2 linked regions of the Drosophila melanogaster genome follow. The protein of the gene in region 1 binds, or shares a complex with, the protein of each later gene. Each region holds a gene or a part of one and is shown on either strand. Other genes may lie near its edges. A codon is read from its position in the direction of its gene.

Evidence for each region. Proteins that work in one complex are often made in the same cells at the same time.
Region 2: the proteins of lgs (region 1) and pygo are in contact, whole or in part, in a crystal structure (PDB 3ZPV), measured with the Drosophila melanogaster proteins. Residues at the interface, in NP_651922.1 of Drosophila melanogaster: His322 (codon at 4,667), Ile323 (codon at 4,670), Phe324 (codon at 4,673), Val325 (codon at 4,676), Phe326 (codon at 4,679), Ser327 (codon at 4,682), Thr328 (codon at 4,685), Ala331 (codon at 4,694), Asn332 (codon at 4,697), Ala335 (codon at 4,706), Val338 (codon at 4,715), Leu339 (codon at 4,718), Thr345 (codon at 4,736), Ile346 (codon at 4,739), Ile347 (codon at 4,742); in NP_651872.1 of Drosophila melanogaster: Ser768 (codon at 5,352), Val779 (codon at 5,676), Gly780 (codon at 5,679), Leu781 (codon at 5,682), Thr782 (codon at 5,685), Ala784 (codon at 5,691), Ala785 (codon at 5,694), Met788 (codon at 5,703), Leu789 (codon at 5,706), Glu792 (codon at 5,715), Phe794 (codon at 5,721), Ala795 (codon at 5,724), Glu796 (codon at 5,727), Trp797 (codon at 5,730), Cys798 (codon at 5,733), Val803 (codon at 5,748).

What each region holds. Positions count from the first base shown.
Region 1 is NC_004353.4:437,889-445,836, reverse strand, and holds the start of lgs (legless), read left to right. Parts: upstream 1-1,925; 5' UTR 1,926-2,443; coding exon 2,444-2,624; intron 2,625-2,682; coding exon 2,683-2,973; intron 2,974-3,447; coding exon 3,448-3,657; intron 3,658-4,385; coding exon 4,386-6,389; intron 6,390-6,671; coding exon 6,672-6,862; intron 6,863-6,918; coding exon 6,919-7,948. UniProt on the Drosophila melanogaster protein: Involved in signal transduction through the Wnt pathway.
Region 2 is NT_033777.3:31,575,316-31,582,680, reverse strand, and holds pygo (pygopus), read left to right. Parts: upstream 1-1,981; 5' UTR 1,982-2,728; intron 2,729-2,795; 5' UTR 2,796-3,050; coding exon 3,051-5,377; intron 5,378-5,668; coding exon 5,669-5,789; 3' UTR 5,790-6,846; downstream 6,847-7,365. Other genes in the region: rod (rough deal), read right to left, coding at 1-137, 193-401, 466-665, 726-1,073, 1,163-1,500, 1,563-1,658; gammaCOP (coat protein (coatomer) gamma), read right to left, coding at 7,295-7,365. UniProt on the Drosophila melanogaster protein: Involved in signal transduction through the Wnt pathway.

The DNA.
Region 1 (7,948 bases):
TTTATACAGTTAAAATCTTTCAAAAAAGTAACTTTCAACCAAATCCGGAAATAAATTCTCAGTACGATTTTCACAAATTGGTTTACCGTGACACACTGCTCCATTGTTTCCAAATCTTAGCGGAACTTTAAACGTGACAAACTTATTTTGAAACATTAGCATTGACTGTTAAAATTGTGATACGTCACCTGGTTCTGGTTAAGTCAAAACAAATTGAACAAAAATTTCTTGGTGATTAAAAATATTTAAATAAATTTATATCTGTACTCTATTGATTTCCTATTGATATTTTGGAACTAAACCTTGGAACCAATCTTGGAAATTATAATTCTTGCGAACGTTCATGGACAGGAACAGGGCGAGACATTTCATTCCAAAGAAACAGTTGGGAAATGAAAACGCTTTAAGTTCTAATTAAAACAACTACCACTAGACTGAAGCTTAAGAAATAAATGCTTAAGCTAAATGTATTATATAATTTTTATTATCTGCAACATTTTAGTGAATAAACAGTTAATAATTGGAGTACATTCAAATTTGTATGTTGTTCTCAGATAGGTGACTGTGGCATGGATAATAGCATTTTCACACAGATACCAATATATCCGTTAAATTCTTAAAGTGAAAATTTTCAAGTTAATTAAAATTATTATGGATTTTTAAAAGAACTTTTTGAGGCAACACTTACTGGTTAGTAATCTATATAATGTAAGCATTAAATCAAACTTTTAACTTATAAGCATTTTATGGAATCATAAATATTCTTAATTGCTTTTAAATAAATTAAATTTAAATTAATAAATTTTAATAAATTAAAATCTCGCTTAGGTGTTTGCGACTATGGAAAACATGCTTAATATCCTAAGACCAAAAAATTTACAAATTTTTTTTTTTTTAATGCGTATCTTGATTTAGAGATTCAAGACCAAAATATATATATATATATATATTAAATAACATTCAAATCATAGAAGCATTTTAAATTAAATTTAATTTAAATTTAAATTAATAAATTTTAATAAATTAAAATCTCGCTTAGGTGTTTGCGACTATGGAAAACATGCTTAATATCCTAGGACCAAAAAATTTACAAATTTTTTTTTTTTTAATGCGTATCTTGATTTAGAGATTCAAGACCAAAATAGCTGTCATATATATATTAAATAACATTCAAATCATAGAAGCAATACTGTTTTGGGATTTGTCTAAGCAACAAACATTTTTGTTTAAATGAAAACATAATTGCATTTCATTTTTTATTCATGAATTAATGCAAAACAAGAGAAAACTCTTTAGTAGATATCCCCGATATGAGATACCCGCAACTCAGCAAGTTTTTTGTTAAGATAAAATGGGAAAAAAGCTAAAATAGCTTTGACAAATGTGGACGTGTCAGTTTTGGGTGGCTTATGGGTGTTTTGCAGACAAATATAAAGGCAGAAACACACGGAAAGACGGACATAGCCAGATCAACTCATCTATAACTATCCTGATAAAGTACATATATCTTTTACTCCACGTGCAATGGGCTATATTATTTGTGAGAACAACACAACGACGCCGGCTGTTCAGATATTTATAAGAGTTTTGCGATATCCCTGTTATTGAGCAAATATAGATAATAAAAAAGCAATAAACGGAACTAAAACTAAGTTTTTTTTTCCAACCAATGTGAAGAAAATTATTACCTCAAATTACAACGGGGACGACAACCACCCAAGAAAAAATATGTTTTTCCATATATATATGCAAATGCTTCGATTTGTAATTCAAAATAATAAAATATGAGATTGCTGACTGAGCTGCATTGGTCTTGCTTAATAGGGTCTTAAATGAGTAGTGGATGTTTTATGGAATACCCTGGTTATTTATGACTTAAAGCTACCAGATCTGGAATTCTAGTATGAAAGTAATAATTATACCAAATTTGGTTTGTTCGAATTATCGCGGTCTGGTCACATATAAGGGTAGTAATTACATTTTTTATATATTAGATTGCTTCTCTTATTATGCGAGCTGTTTATTCCAAAGTATGTTCGCAATTTTCGACTCCTGCTAACATAACGCACGGTTAAAGCAGGAACATTTGGGCCTATAAGCCCAAAATTTCATTAGCTTAATACGATGCTCCGAAGTGTTATTGCATTTGCACATATACATAAAATTGTGACATAGAATAGGAGAATTCCACATACAAATACAAAAATACAAAATCCTCCAGTAAAATTTAAAACGATATCGTGTTTTGCTTCGCGTATCTCACGTGAGATGTAATCGCATGCATATGAGTGGTGAGTGCCTGCGTGCAGTTCCTGGTCTAAATATGCTTAATTGCGTTCGCCGACTTCAAAAGCAATAAAACGATGGATTTTAATTGCTACTTGAGCAATTAGCCACACAAGGGATCTTGGGAAGGTCGATTTGAAGGAATTCGATTTCTAGGATGCTCTCGACAACAATGCCCCGCAGTCCAACCCAACAACAGCCGCAACCAAACTCCGATGCCTCCTCAACAAGTGCATCTGGATCAAATCCTGGAGCAGCGATCGGAAATGGGGACTCGGCGGCGAGCAGAAGTTCTCCGAAGACCCTTAATAGCGAACCCTTTTCTACTTTGTCGCCGGGTAAGACTTGTATTGATTTCTCTTTGTCCGGAATTATAACAACTTTCTGTGTTTCCAGATCAAATAAAATTGACGCCAGAAGAAGGCACTGAGAAAAGCGGACTATCAACTAGTGATAAAGCTGCCACTGGAGGAGCCCCAGGCAGTGGAAATAATCTGCCCGAGGGACAAACTATGCTAAGGCAGAACTCTACGAGCACAATCAACTCGTGCCTAGTCGCTTCTCCACAAAACTCCAGTGAACACTCGAATAGCAGCAATGTGTCTGCTACAGTGGGCCTTACTCAGATGGTAGATTGTGACGAGCAATCGAAGAAAAACAAATGTAGTGTGAAGGACGAGGAAGCTGGTAAGACTGCCCTACAAATGGTTTAAAATTTTAAAATGTATTGGCGTTCACCTTTGTTAATCATTTAATTGTTTTTTTTTTGCTATACTTACAATTTTAGTTTTAAACTTGTAAACTTGACTAAAACTCGCGAAGCTCGGATCAAAACAGACATTTTCTTGGAACCGTAATTAAGCTCATAAAAATATTAATTCATCTTGATGGAATGCATATCATAGATGTACTCAAACATCTCAAGAAAGACCTCAAATTGGATCAACTAATTAGTTTGAGAAAAAATTGCTGTACTTTTAAGAATATATTAATTTAAAAATTTGCTGAGTGAAATGATATAATAGTCACAATAATTTTTAGTTAAACTGCTAAAGCATTTTGAATAGCCGTGCTACGCAGATGCTACTAGACGCGGTGTAAAAGCTAATTTTTATTTAAAAGCTGTCCTAATATTCCATAACCATTAATGTCCCATTTCAGAAATAAGTTCTAATAAAGCAAAAGGTCAAGCAGCTGGTGGCGGCTGCGAAACAGGTTCTACATCCAGTTTGACTGTCAAGGAAGAACCCACCGATGTCTTAGGCAGTTTAGTAAATATGAAAAAAGAAGAAAGAGAAAATCATTCGCCAACGATGTCCCCTGTTGGTTTTGGTTCAATTGGTAATGCACAGGACAACTCCGCTACACCGGGTAAGTTTTAAGAGATCCATATAAAGCAAATAACAAGAATTAATGTCAGTTACCAATTTTATTTGATAGTCAAAGAACTACTATAGCGATATCTCCTGCCTTTTAATTTTATTTTAATTAGGAAATACGAATATTTCTAATTTGTAAAATAAAATTGATTAATTAACTAGAATTTAAAAACCTTTTGAATTAGGACATACCCTTCCAAAAATCAGTAATCATTGGGAACGAGAGTGTGGTCCCGAAGGAGACTACTATAAAACCTTTTGAGCTATCTGATACTGCACGCTACTAAAAATGATTAGTTTAGGAAAATGGGTGTAATTTTGTAGGAAGTTTTCATTTTAGAAGAAATGTGATTATTTTATTAAACCCCTTCAAGCGGAACTACATTTGTTCTACGATATTTTGGAAAAACAAATGGTTAAGTTGGAAAGTGCCTATAAAACAGAATTCCACGGTTTCAAATACTAACCAGGTTTTTGATTTAATTTTGATTAAATGAGAAATTATCACACTTCAGTTAAAATGTTTAATTCGATTAAGGTCGGACAATCACAGCAGATTTCCATTTTTGCGTGTATATATAGAAGTCGCCTTCACACTCTTCTGGCGCGCTTCACCACTACGTGGAGTTCCGCCCGCAGTGATTTATATAGATGATTTACGAGTTATTTAATTTTTTATGGTGTATTTTAATAAATATCTTATTTATTCATTTTACATAGTTAAAATTGAAAGAATTTCAAACGACAGTACCACGGAAAAAAAAGGATCGTCCTTGACAATGAATAATGACGAAATGAGCATGGAAGGCTGCAATCAGTTGAATCCCGATTTTATCAATGAATCTTTAAATAATCCTGCAATTTCGAGCATATTAGTAAGCGGAGTAGGACCAATACCCGGAATCGGAGTTGGAGCGGGGACGGGAAATTTATTGACTGCCAACGCCAATGGAATCTCCTCGGGTAGCAGTAATTGTTTGGATTACATGCAACAGCAAAATCACATATTCGTGTTTTCAACTCAGCTGGCCAACAAAGGGGCCGAATCAGTTTTAAGCGGTCAATTTCAAACTATTATTGCGTATCACTGCACTCAGCCTGCTACAAAAAGCTTCCTGGAAGACTTTTTTATGAAAAACCCTTTAAAGATTAACAAGTTACAGCGGCACAATTCCGTCGGTATGCCATGGATAGGCATGGGGCAGGTTGGACTAACTCCTCCTAATCCTGTAGCCAAAATAACACAACAGCAGCCACATACAAAGACCGTAGGCCTATTGAAACCCCAATTCAATCAACATGAAAACAGCAAACGTAGTACTGTAAGCGCGCCTAGCAACTCTTTTGTCGACCAGTCTGATCCTATGGGCAACGAAACTGAATTGATGTGCTGGGAAGGCGGATCCTCAAACACCAGTAGGTCTGGACAAAACTCACGAAATCATGTAGACAGTATCAGTACATCCAGCGAGTCACAGGCAATAAAGATACTGGAAGCAGCTGGCGTTGATTTGGGACAGGTCACAAAAGGAAGCGATCCTGGCCTGACAACTGAAAACAACATTGTATCACTGCAAGGAGTTAAGGTTCCAGACGAAAACCTTACACCACAACAGCGGCAACATCGGGAAGAACAGTTGGCAAAAATAAAAAAAATGAATCAATTTCTTTTTCCTGAAAATGAGAATTCAGTAGGAGCTAATGTAAGCTCACAGATAACAAAAATTCCAGGAGATTTAATGATGGGGATGTCGGGTGGCGGAGGCGGATCTATTATAAATCCGACGATGCGACAACTGCATATGCCAGGTAACGCCAAATCGGAGCTCTTATCGGCGACAAGTTCAGGACTTTCGGAAGATGTAATGCATCCAGGGGATGTTATATCAGATATGGGTGCCGTAATAGGATGTAATAATAATCAAAAAACCAGTGTGCAATGTGGATCTGGAGTAGGTGTTGTCACTGGAACAACTGCAGCTGGAGTAAATGTCAATATGCATTGCTCAAGCTCCGGCGCCCCGAATGGCAATATGATGGGAAGCTCTACGGATATGCTAGCCTCGTTTGGCAACACAAGCTGCAACGTCATCGGAACGGCCCCAGATATGTCTAAGGAAGTTTTAAATCAAGATAGCCGAACCCATTCACATCAAGGGGGAGTTGCTCAAATGGAGTGGTCGAAGATTCAACATCAATTTTTCGAAGAACGCCTCAAGGGGGGCAAGCCCAGACAAGTCACTGGAACTGTAGTACCACAACAGCAAACCCCTTCTGGATCTGGTGGAAACTCGTTAAACAACCAGGTGCGACCCCTGCAAGGTCCACCTCCTCCTTACCACTCCATCCAGAGATCTGCGTCAGTACCAATAGCCACTCAATCGCCCAATCCCTCGAGTCCAAACAATCTATCTCTCCCGTCACCGCGGACAACCGCAGCAGTCATGGGATTGCCGACCAACTCTCCTAGCATGGATGGAACAGGATCATTATCTGGATCTGTTCCGCAAGCTAATACTTCGACGGTTCAGGCAGGCACAACAACAGTGCTCTCAGCAAACAAGAACTGTTTTCAGGCAGACACCCCATCGCCGTCAAATCAAAATCGTAGTAGAAATACCGGATCGTCAAGCGTTCTTACGCATAACTTAAGCAGCAACCCAAGTACCCCCTTATCTCATCTATCCCCAAAGGAATTTGAGTCTTTCGGTCAGTCCTCTGCTGGTATGTTATATTTGTTTAATTTTTTTAAAGACAAATCAAATATGAATTGCGTTAATAATAAGTTATATATTACATAACTCGGAAATTTGATAGAAAAAATCAGGAATAGAAAAAATAAATTATTTTCCGGACCGCCCATCCATTTCTTGAATCCAATTTCTGGAGTGATTGTTAGAGATAATCTACTATTAAAATTAAACACGAAAATTCATATCCGGTTAATTGAAAATCACTATTGTTTAATAAGAAATTAAAAATATGTTTATTATAATATTTCTACAGGTGATAACATGAAAAGTAGGCGACCAAGCCCACAGGGTCAGCGGTCACCAGTAAATAGTCTAATAGAGGCAAATAAAGATGTACGATTTGCTGCATCCAGTCCTGGTTTTAACCCGCATCCACATATGCAAAGCAATTCAAATTCAGCATTAAACGCCTATAAAATGGGCTCTACCAATATACAGATGGAGGTAAATATTTAAATATTTTATTTAACGTTTTTGTGTTAATTTATCTTCTTTTTCAGCGTCAAGCATCAGCGCAAGGTGGATCCGTACAATTTAGTCGGCGCTCCGATAATATTCCGCTAAATCCCAATAGTGGCAATCGGCCGCCACCAAACAAGATGACCCAAAACTTCGATCCAATCTCTTCTTTGGCACAAATGTCCCAACAACTAACAAGTTGCGTGTCCAGCATGGGTAGTCCAGCCGGAACTGGTGGTATGACGATGATGGGGGGTCCGGGACCGTCCGACATCAATATTGAGCATGGAATAATTTCGGGACTAGATGGATCAGGAATAGATACCATAAATCAAAATAACTGTCATTCAATGAATGTCGTAATGAACTCAATGGGTCCCCGAATGCTGAATCCTAAAATGTGCGTAGCAGGCGGTCCAAATGGACCGCCTGGCTTTAATCCTAATTCCCCCAATGGTGGATTAAGAGAGAATTCCATAGGGTCTGGCTGTGGCTCAGCAAACTCTTCAAACTTTCAAGGGGTTGTTCCACCTGGTGCCAGAATGATGGGTCGAATGCCAGTCAATTTTGGTTCGAATTTCAATCCGAATATTCAGGTAAAGGCGAGTACCCCAAACACCATACAATACATGCCAGTAAGGGCACAGAACGCCAACAACAATAACAACAATGGAGCTAATAATGTGCGAATGCCACCTAGTCTGGAATTTTTGCAGAGGTACGCTAACCCTCAAATGGGTGCTGTAGGCAATGGGTCGCCAATATGCCCACCATCAGCCAGCGACGGTACTCCTGGAATGCCAGGATTGATGGCGGGACCAGGAGCCGGAGGTATGCTAATGAATTCTTCCGGAGAGCAACACCAGAACAAGATCACAAACAATCCTGGGGCAAGCAATGGTATTAACTTCTTTCAGAATTGCAATCAAATGTCTATTGTTGACGAAGAGGGTGGATTACCCGGCCATGACGGATCAATGAATATTGGTCAACCATCTATGATAAGGGGCATGCGTCCACATGCCATGCGGCCAAATGTAATGGGTGCGCGGATGCCACCCGTTAACAGGC
Region 2 (7,365 bases), on another chromosome or scaffold:
TGAGACAGCAGTTGCAGCAAGTCTTGGAATTTAGTGTCCACGTTTTGTGAATTCGAGTTGCAAAGCTCGACCAAAATGCGTTTCGCTTTGGCTTCATAGATGGGCTGGAGGCACAGCTCAAACTGCTTGCCAAATTCCTGTTGCAAATGTTAATGGATAATGAATGACTAAGAGATCAATTATACTCAATACCTCAGCCTCCTCCAGTCGCCCCTTGCAAATCAGCTTCTTAAAACGATCACTGGGGTCGGTCTCGGAAACGAGCATCATCTCCACCACGGAGGGTATGCTGCTCTGGTTGACTTCCTTGGCAGCCAGATAATACAGATTGACCGCACACTTAGGCTGACGCACAAGCCATGCGTGATCAGGAACTTCTACCTCGTTCTTCACATTGAGCGCTGCAATGACACAAGGTTTTTAGCCTTACTGTATGTTTATGTTTTATGTTTGCTGGACTCATACTTGGGTACTCCACTATCTTAATGAAGCGTCCCTCCGCCGTTGATTTCGTCAGCACCAGAAGCTCAATGTTATCTTCGCTGCACTCCATAACCAGCAGATCCTCGATGAGCAGATTTTTTTGTTGGGTAGTTTGACACATGTACACTGTGCGAGTGTATGGACAAATCTCCACCAAGTGGCCGGAATCGGTGAGTGCGATACTGCAAAACCCAGATACACGTTAGAGGGATTCTAGCACCACAATAAGCAAACCCACTCACATATAGTGTTCCAAGTTGAAGATCTGCTTTAGGCTGCCGTACTGAGCGGGCAAATTTATTCGTGTCACGTCATTGGCTGCATTCCTAAAGTTCATAGTGCTTTGATCTCCAGTGATAACTAGACCGGGTTGCGCCTCCAGATCATCCTGATTGTTCTCGGCACTGATGTTGCCGGTCAGCAGCCGCTTGAGCAGCACTGCACAGTCCACGCTGCACGAGGATCTGCCCTTGGAAAGACGTTGAATGGTGACGTCCTCGAGCAGGGCCTTTTCGCAAGCTATAGTTTCGTTTTCATTCAGGCTCATATTGCCTAACGTTTCCAAGCAGGTCTCATCAATGTCGCTTAAGCTACACAGCGTTTGAATCGTTTAATGAAATAATGTCAAGATCCAGTTTTATCACGCATATGCCAGAGCCCATCTCTGTGAATGGCTTACCTATAGATGCTTCCATTCTTACAGGTGAAGTAAAACCGCTGATCCAGTTGATGGATGCTCCGGAAGGTCCCGCCAGTTAGGCTCACGTCCTCCAGATTGACGGCCACGCTGAACAGGAGCAGGCCCTTGATGAACACTCCGTGAACTTCGCCATCGCTGAGGCCGCATACAATCAGGTTGCCGCTTGAAGAAATGGCAATGGCCTCAATGGCTGCCCCGAATGCCAGAAAGCTGCACTTGGCCACCAGTTCGTCCTCCAGGAGCAAAAGGCTCTTGTCGATGCCAATGACCATCTTGCCGCACTGCACGGAGGCCATGACATCTGGATATTTGTTTACCTGACAATGAAAGAAGGCGAGCGTAGAAACCCAACTGCAGATTCTGCACAATAAGGACTCACTTCCTCTTCACTGCTTATTTGGAAGATGCCTCGCGACGAAAATATGTTGGAGATGGTTTCGTCCTCCAGGGAGGACGCCTCGAAGTTGCTCCACATTGCTGTTCAATCCGCTCTAGCCTAATGTGCAAAACCTGCCAATTTTAAACTCTTTATTTAAACACCGCCAATAAACAAGCGTCGCCTGAGAGTTTGCCGATAACATTACCCGCATATCGATAGACGATTGGCGGCATGAAGACACACTACGTATTGACCTTGGGGCTAATACGTTTACGCAATTTATATTTATTACTTAAATGACGTATGTCCAAATCGTAATTTCTCCTTTAAACCTATTACTTTTTAAATGTTAACGTAGTTGCAAACTACTTCGTGCTGGCTTGCTTTGGCCACACTGAGCCGCCGACGGAATTCCGGCATTTCTCTTGACGTGCGCAAACGGTCACACTGGCGGACTTGCAATGAAAATTATTTATATTTCGCTTCTTCGCACGCAAAAATTGGTCAAAATAAACAAAGGTTAATGTGCTGCTGCTATATAACGGTTCAGTGGTCAGTCCGCCGGACCGCCGAATCCGCGTAACGGTAATCCGTGCGTGTGCCGCTCCTATAAACGGCGCTAATTAAAAGTGGATGCTGCAGTGGCCATCAAATCAACAAAAAGCCAACCGAAAACGCAGGCTTCACAAATCGCGTAAACCCTAACACAATTTCCTTGGGAAATAACCGCCGGTTGTTTTGTTTTCCGATTAAAGACAAACGCAAAAAGAACCCGTAAATAAACAACAGTTAAGCGCTGCACTGCAATTAAAACGGAACGGGAAGCGCAGCGGAGGACATAAAATCGCTGGCAAGAAGAAGAGCGCTGCCAGAAAGCGCCCTTTGAAGGGTTTATGAAGGGGAATTAGTGGCAAACCGCAGTGCAGAGTGCTAAAAAAACGAACTCCTGACCTGAAGTGATCAAGGATCAGTAAGAAACTGAGAAGCGGCAGGTGCTTGGCGCTTTGAAACGAGACAACACGACGCTGGGTTTCCAGGGTAGAGTTGCCAACCCGAAAAATAAGCGGGGTTGCCGTTCGTTGCGCCGAAAGTGTTTACCTGCGTTTTGGGAGTCAGTTGCTTTAAAAACGCGATTTTCATAAGGGTCCTGGCCAGGAGATGTCTTGGTGAGTAGTTGAGGAGGACTGACCCACAGGATGCCAGATACTCATTTGGCACCCTTCACACTCCCAGGAACTCAAACTCCAGGCGGTCGCAGGCCGGATAACCGGCAGAAAGCCCAAGCCCACCAAGCATAACCCATTGTAGTTGGTCACCGAAGGATCCAGTGGATTTGTGCCCACCTCCCTAGGGACATCAGAACCAAACCCACTCCTTTACCAGCGTCGAGATCTCCTGCGCGGGATTGGCGACGCCGCTACAACCGAATTTCTTGCCCCACGCCGTTGAAGAAAAGCTGCCACCATTCGGAAGAAGAACACCTCGAATATGACCCACAATCTTGGTATGGCGCCATATCGATTGCCGGGTCCAGCGGGCGGACTCTGTCCGCCCGATTTTAAGCCGCCGCCTCCCACGGACATCATCTCGGCGCCGAGCAATCCGAAGAAGCGGCGAAAAACCTCAAGTGCCGCCAACTCCGCTGCAGCGGTGGCTGCGGCGGCGGCTGCAGCAGCTGCTGCGAATTCCATGCAGCAGCAGCAGGCGCCACCCACACCGCAGGATTTGCTGCCCCCTCCGCCAATGGGAGGCTTCGGAGACACCATTATTGCCTCGAATCCATTCGACGACAGTCCCCAGGTGTCGGCGATGTCCAGCTCAGCGGCCGCGGCGATGGCGGCCATGAATCAGATGGGCGGCGGACCAGGAGGTGGTCACTTTGGCGGCGGTGGACCGGGTGGGCACCCGCACTGGGAAGACCGCATGGGCATGGGCGGTGGACCTCCTCCCCCGCCTCACATGCATCCCCATATGCACCCGCATCATCCAGGCGGACCTATGGGTCACCCACATGGCCCACATCCGCACATGGGTGGTCCACCTCCAATGCGAGGAATGAGCCCCATGCACCCCCATCAAATGGGACCGGGACCAGGCGTCGGACTACCGCCGCATATGAATCACGGAAGGCCAGGGGGACCTGGTGGTCCTGGAGGACCCGTCCCAATGGGTAGTCCCATGGGTGGAATAGCTGGCATGGGCGGCATGAGCCCAATGGGCGGAATGGGAGGCCCCAGCATATCACCCCATCACATGGGCATGGGTGGTCTGTCGCCCATGGGAGGCGGTCCCAACGGACCCAATCCGCGAGCCATGCAGGGTTCACCGATGGGCGGTCCGGGGCAGAACTCGCCAATGAACTCACTGCCTATGGGTTCGCCAATGGGCAATCCAATTGGCAGCCCGTTGGGCCCTCCCTCGGGACCGGGCCCTGGGAATCCCGGCAATACCGGCGGACCACAGCAGCAACAACAACAACCTCCGCAGCCACCGATGAACAACGGGCAGATGGGTCCTCCTCCTCTGCACAGTCCGCTCGGAAACGGACCAACGGGTCATGGCAGTCACATGCCTGGAGGACCAATCCCAGGACCAGGTCCTGGGCCTGGCGGCCTAGTAGGTCCCGGTGGCATCTCCCCCGCGCACGGCAATAACCCGGGTGGTTCTGGGAACAACATGCTCGGCGGGAATCCCGGCGGCGGCAACAGCAACAACAACGGAAGCAATACAAGTAACGCCAGCAACAACAATCAAAATCCTCACCTCTCGCCAGCAGCCGGACGCCTGGGAGTGCCGACGTCGATGCAGTCGAATGGACCTTCGGTATCATCGGTAGCCTCCTCATCGGTTCCCTCGCCCGCCACGCCCACGCTCACGCCCACATCGACGGCCACGTCCATGTCCACGTCAGTGCCTACATCCTCGCCAGCGCCGCCCGCCATGTCACCGCATCACTCGCTAAACAGCGCCGGCCCGAGTCCGGGCATGCCCAACTCGGGACCCAGCCCGCTGCAGTCACCAGCCGGACCCAATGGCCCCAATAACAACAACAGCAATAACAACAACGGACCCATGATGGGCCAGATGATCCCGAACGCAGTTCCTATGCAGCACCAGCAGCACATGGGCGGCGGCCCACCTGGCCACGGGCCCGGACCAATGCCCGGAATGGGCATGAACCAAATGCTGCCACCGCAGCAACCCTCCCATCTTGGTCCCCCGCATCCGAATATGATGAACCACCCGCATCATCCGCACCATCATCCTGGCGGACCACCGCCGCACATGATGGGTGGACCCGGAATGCACGGCGGTCCTGCTGGAATGCCTCCTCATATGGGCGGAGGACCTAATCCGCACATGATGGGCGGTCCGCACGGGAACGCGGGTCCGCACATGGGCCACGGCCACATGGGTGGAGTACCAGGTCCAGGACCCGGACCCGGCGGCATGAACGGACCCCCGCATCCGCACATGTCCCCGCACCACGGACATCCGCATCACCACCACAATCCGATGGGCGGCCCAGGTCCAAATATGTTCGGCGGTGGTGGAGGAGGTCCCATGGGTCCCGGTGGACCGATGGGCAACATGGGGCCCATGGGAGGTGGCCCGATGGGCGGCCCTATGGGCGTAGGTCCCAAGCCGATGACAATGGGCGGCGGGAAGATGTACCCGCCGGGACAGCCAATGGTCTTTAATCCGCAGAACCCGAATGCGCCGCCCATATATCCTTGTGGCATGTGCCACAAGGAGGTGAACGACAACGACGAAGCCGTGTTCTGTGAATCCGGTTGTAACTTTTTCTTTCACAGGTAGGTCGACCAGTTTACAATAGATTAAAAAGGTCAAATAGAAAATATTATATAAATATCTAGGAACAATATTTAGTCCATATCATCATATTTTAAACTGCTTATATCCTGATAATTATCTTTTCGGAACAAAATGTTTAGGAAAGTTTATTGGAATCTCATGAGCAATTAGTCTTATCACTTCTAGTTCAAAGTTAACAGGGGATTACCCTTCAATTAATACATAAAATCAGTCAGGTGTTTTCGTTTATTCATGTTCGTCGTCGACTAACTCCACTATCATTTTTGCAGAACCTGTGTTGGCCTGACAGAGGCGGCCTTCCAAATGCTCAACAAGGAGGTGTTTGCCGAGTGGTGCTGCGACAAGTGCGTGTCTTCCAAGCATATTCCCATGGTCAAGTTCAAGTGTTGAAGCGGATCGGATTTGAAATCAGCAAAACACATCGATCAACCACCAGCGAAAGCGAGAGCAAAGCAAAAGCAACAGCACCAGCTACCCAACCACTCACTGTATAAAATATCCAAGCATTAACTCTATCTTAATTGTAAGACTTAAGCTGCTCAATAGTCAAGACCGCGACCGATCCAGAGACCCACCAGTCCCCATCCCGGCAGCTAAGCCCCGTAGCCAGAATGCGAACCACTAAAGTGCCGGAGCAGTGTTGTGAATTTGAGCTCCGGGCTTCCTGGCCAACTCGCGGCGTGCTCCTGAAACAAATAAGCAAGGCAAACCTTAACGAAAAGTGTAAACGAAATATGTTAATTGTAATATAATTGTAATTTGTGTGTGAGCGTCTGCATGTGAAGCGATCGAAGAGGACAACGTCGCAACAAGAAGACGGAATGAAAGCTGAGAAGCACTCTAGTTTGTATTATAAAAGAAAATGGATAAATCTGAAGAGCAGGCCAGGCGGGATGATGGTGCACATCTCCAATCGAATACCACTCGCCTGGCGAGAAATCCGCATGAAACACAACAGACAACCAACCACTCGTAACTATATAAACATATATCTAATGACATATTCAACACATTTGGAGATGAGTATAGGAGTTGTAACGAAATGAAATTATCATTGTGAAATTGCTGCGAACTGCATGAGTGTGTTATTTGTTATTACGAATCTATATTATTTTTATACTTGTGTGCGTTTACATTTTAAATATTTAATACGGAAGAGCGTTTCGAACGATTGATGGAACTGCATCGTCGATACATTTTACACAAAAATATTCAGCATAGTCGGAATCGGAGAATGTATAATAAGGAATCGATTGCGAACAAAAGCACAAGAAATTATGAATTCATGTGAGAAAGGTTAATTTGTAATTTAAGACGAATGTGGAGGACGCAGCGAACATAAACGATTCAAACGAGAAAAGAAATTTGTAAAAATAGGAAAACAAGAAGTACTCTAGGCTACTGCAACTATAAGTTATTTATAATTAAATAAAATACCATATAAAATAAAGTAAGTTCTAGTTATGAAGCAATTTCTCTTTGGAGGTGCGGTTTCCACGAGCTTGCAATCATTAAAATCATTTCAATGTCCTACTTTAAAAGCACCTGCCAAATAAACGCCTTCAGGTCGGGTTGCATTGCATATACATGTATTTTTAATATTTTGTTTCCATACTTAAGCTAAATGCACAGGCTAAATGGGGATAATAAACATATGCGATGCACACCGAAGGCTGCATCGCCACACAAACTTTTCGGAAATGGCCAGTAGCAATACTCAATGTTGCACATGCCGGATTGTGGACAGGGCTCTAAGATTATTACAGAGACAGTCGCTTAAAGGTACAAATTATATTTTGATTAGGCGTAACTTTCTGTTTCGTAGTTTCGTAGGGAGTTCAGATTACGTTCACAGCACGCAGGAACCAAAGGAGGTTCCTGCATGGCTCGCTGTCTTATCCAATGGCCGCCGTTATCAGCTCCGCCACGTCCTGGTCCGTGCTGCGCACCGTCAGATTGAGCGTGA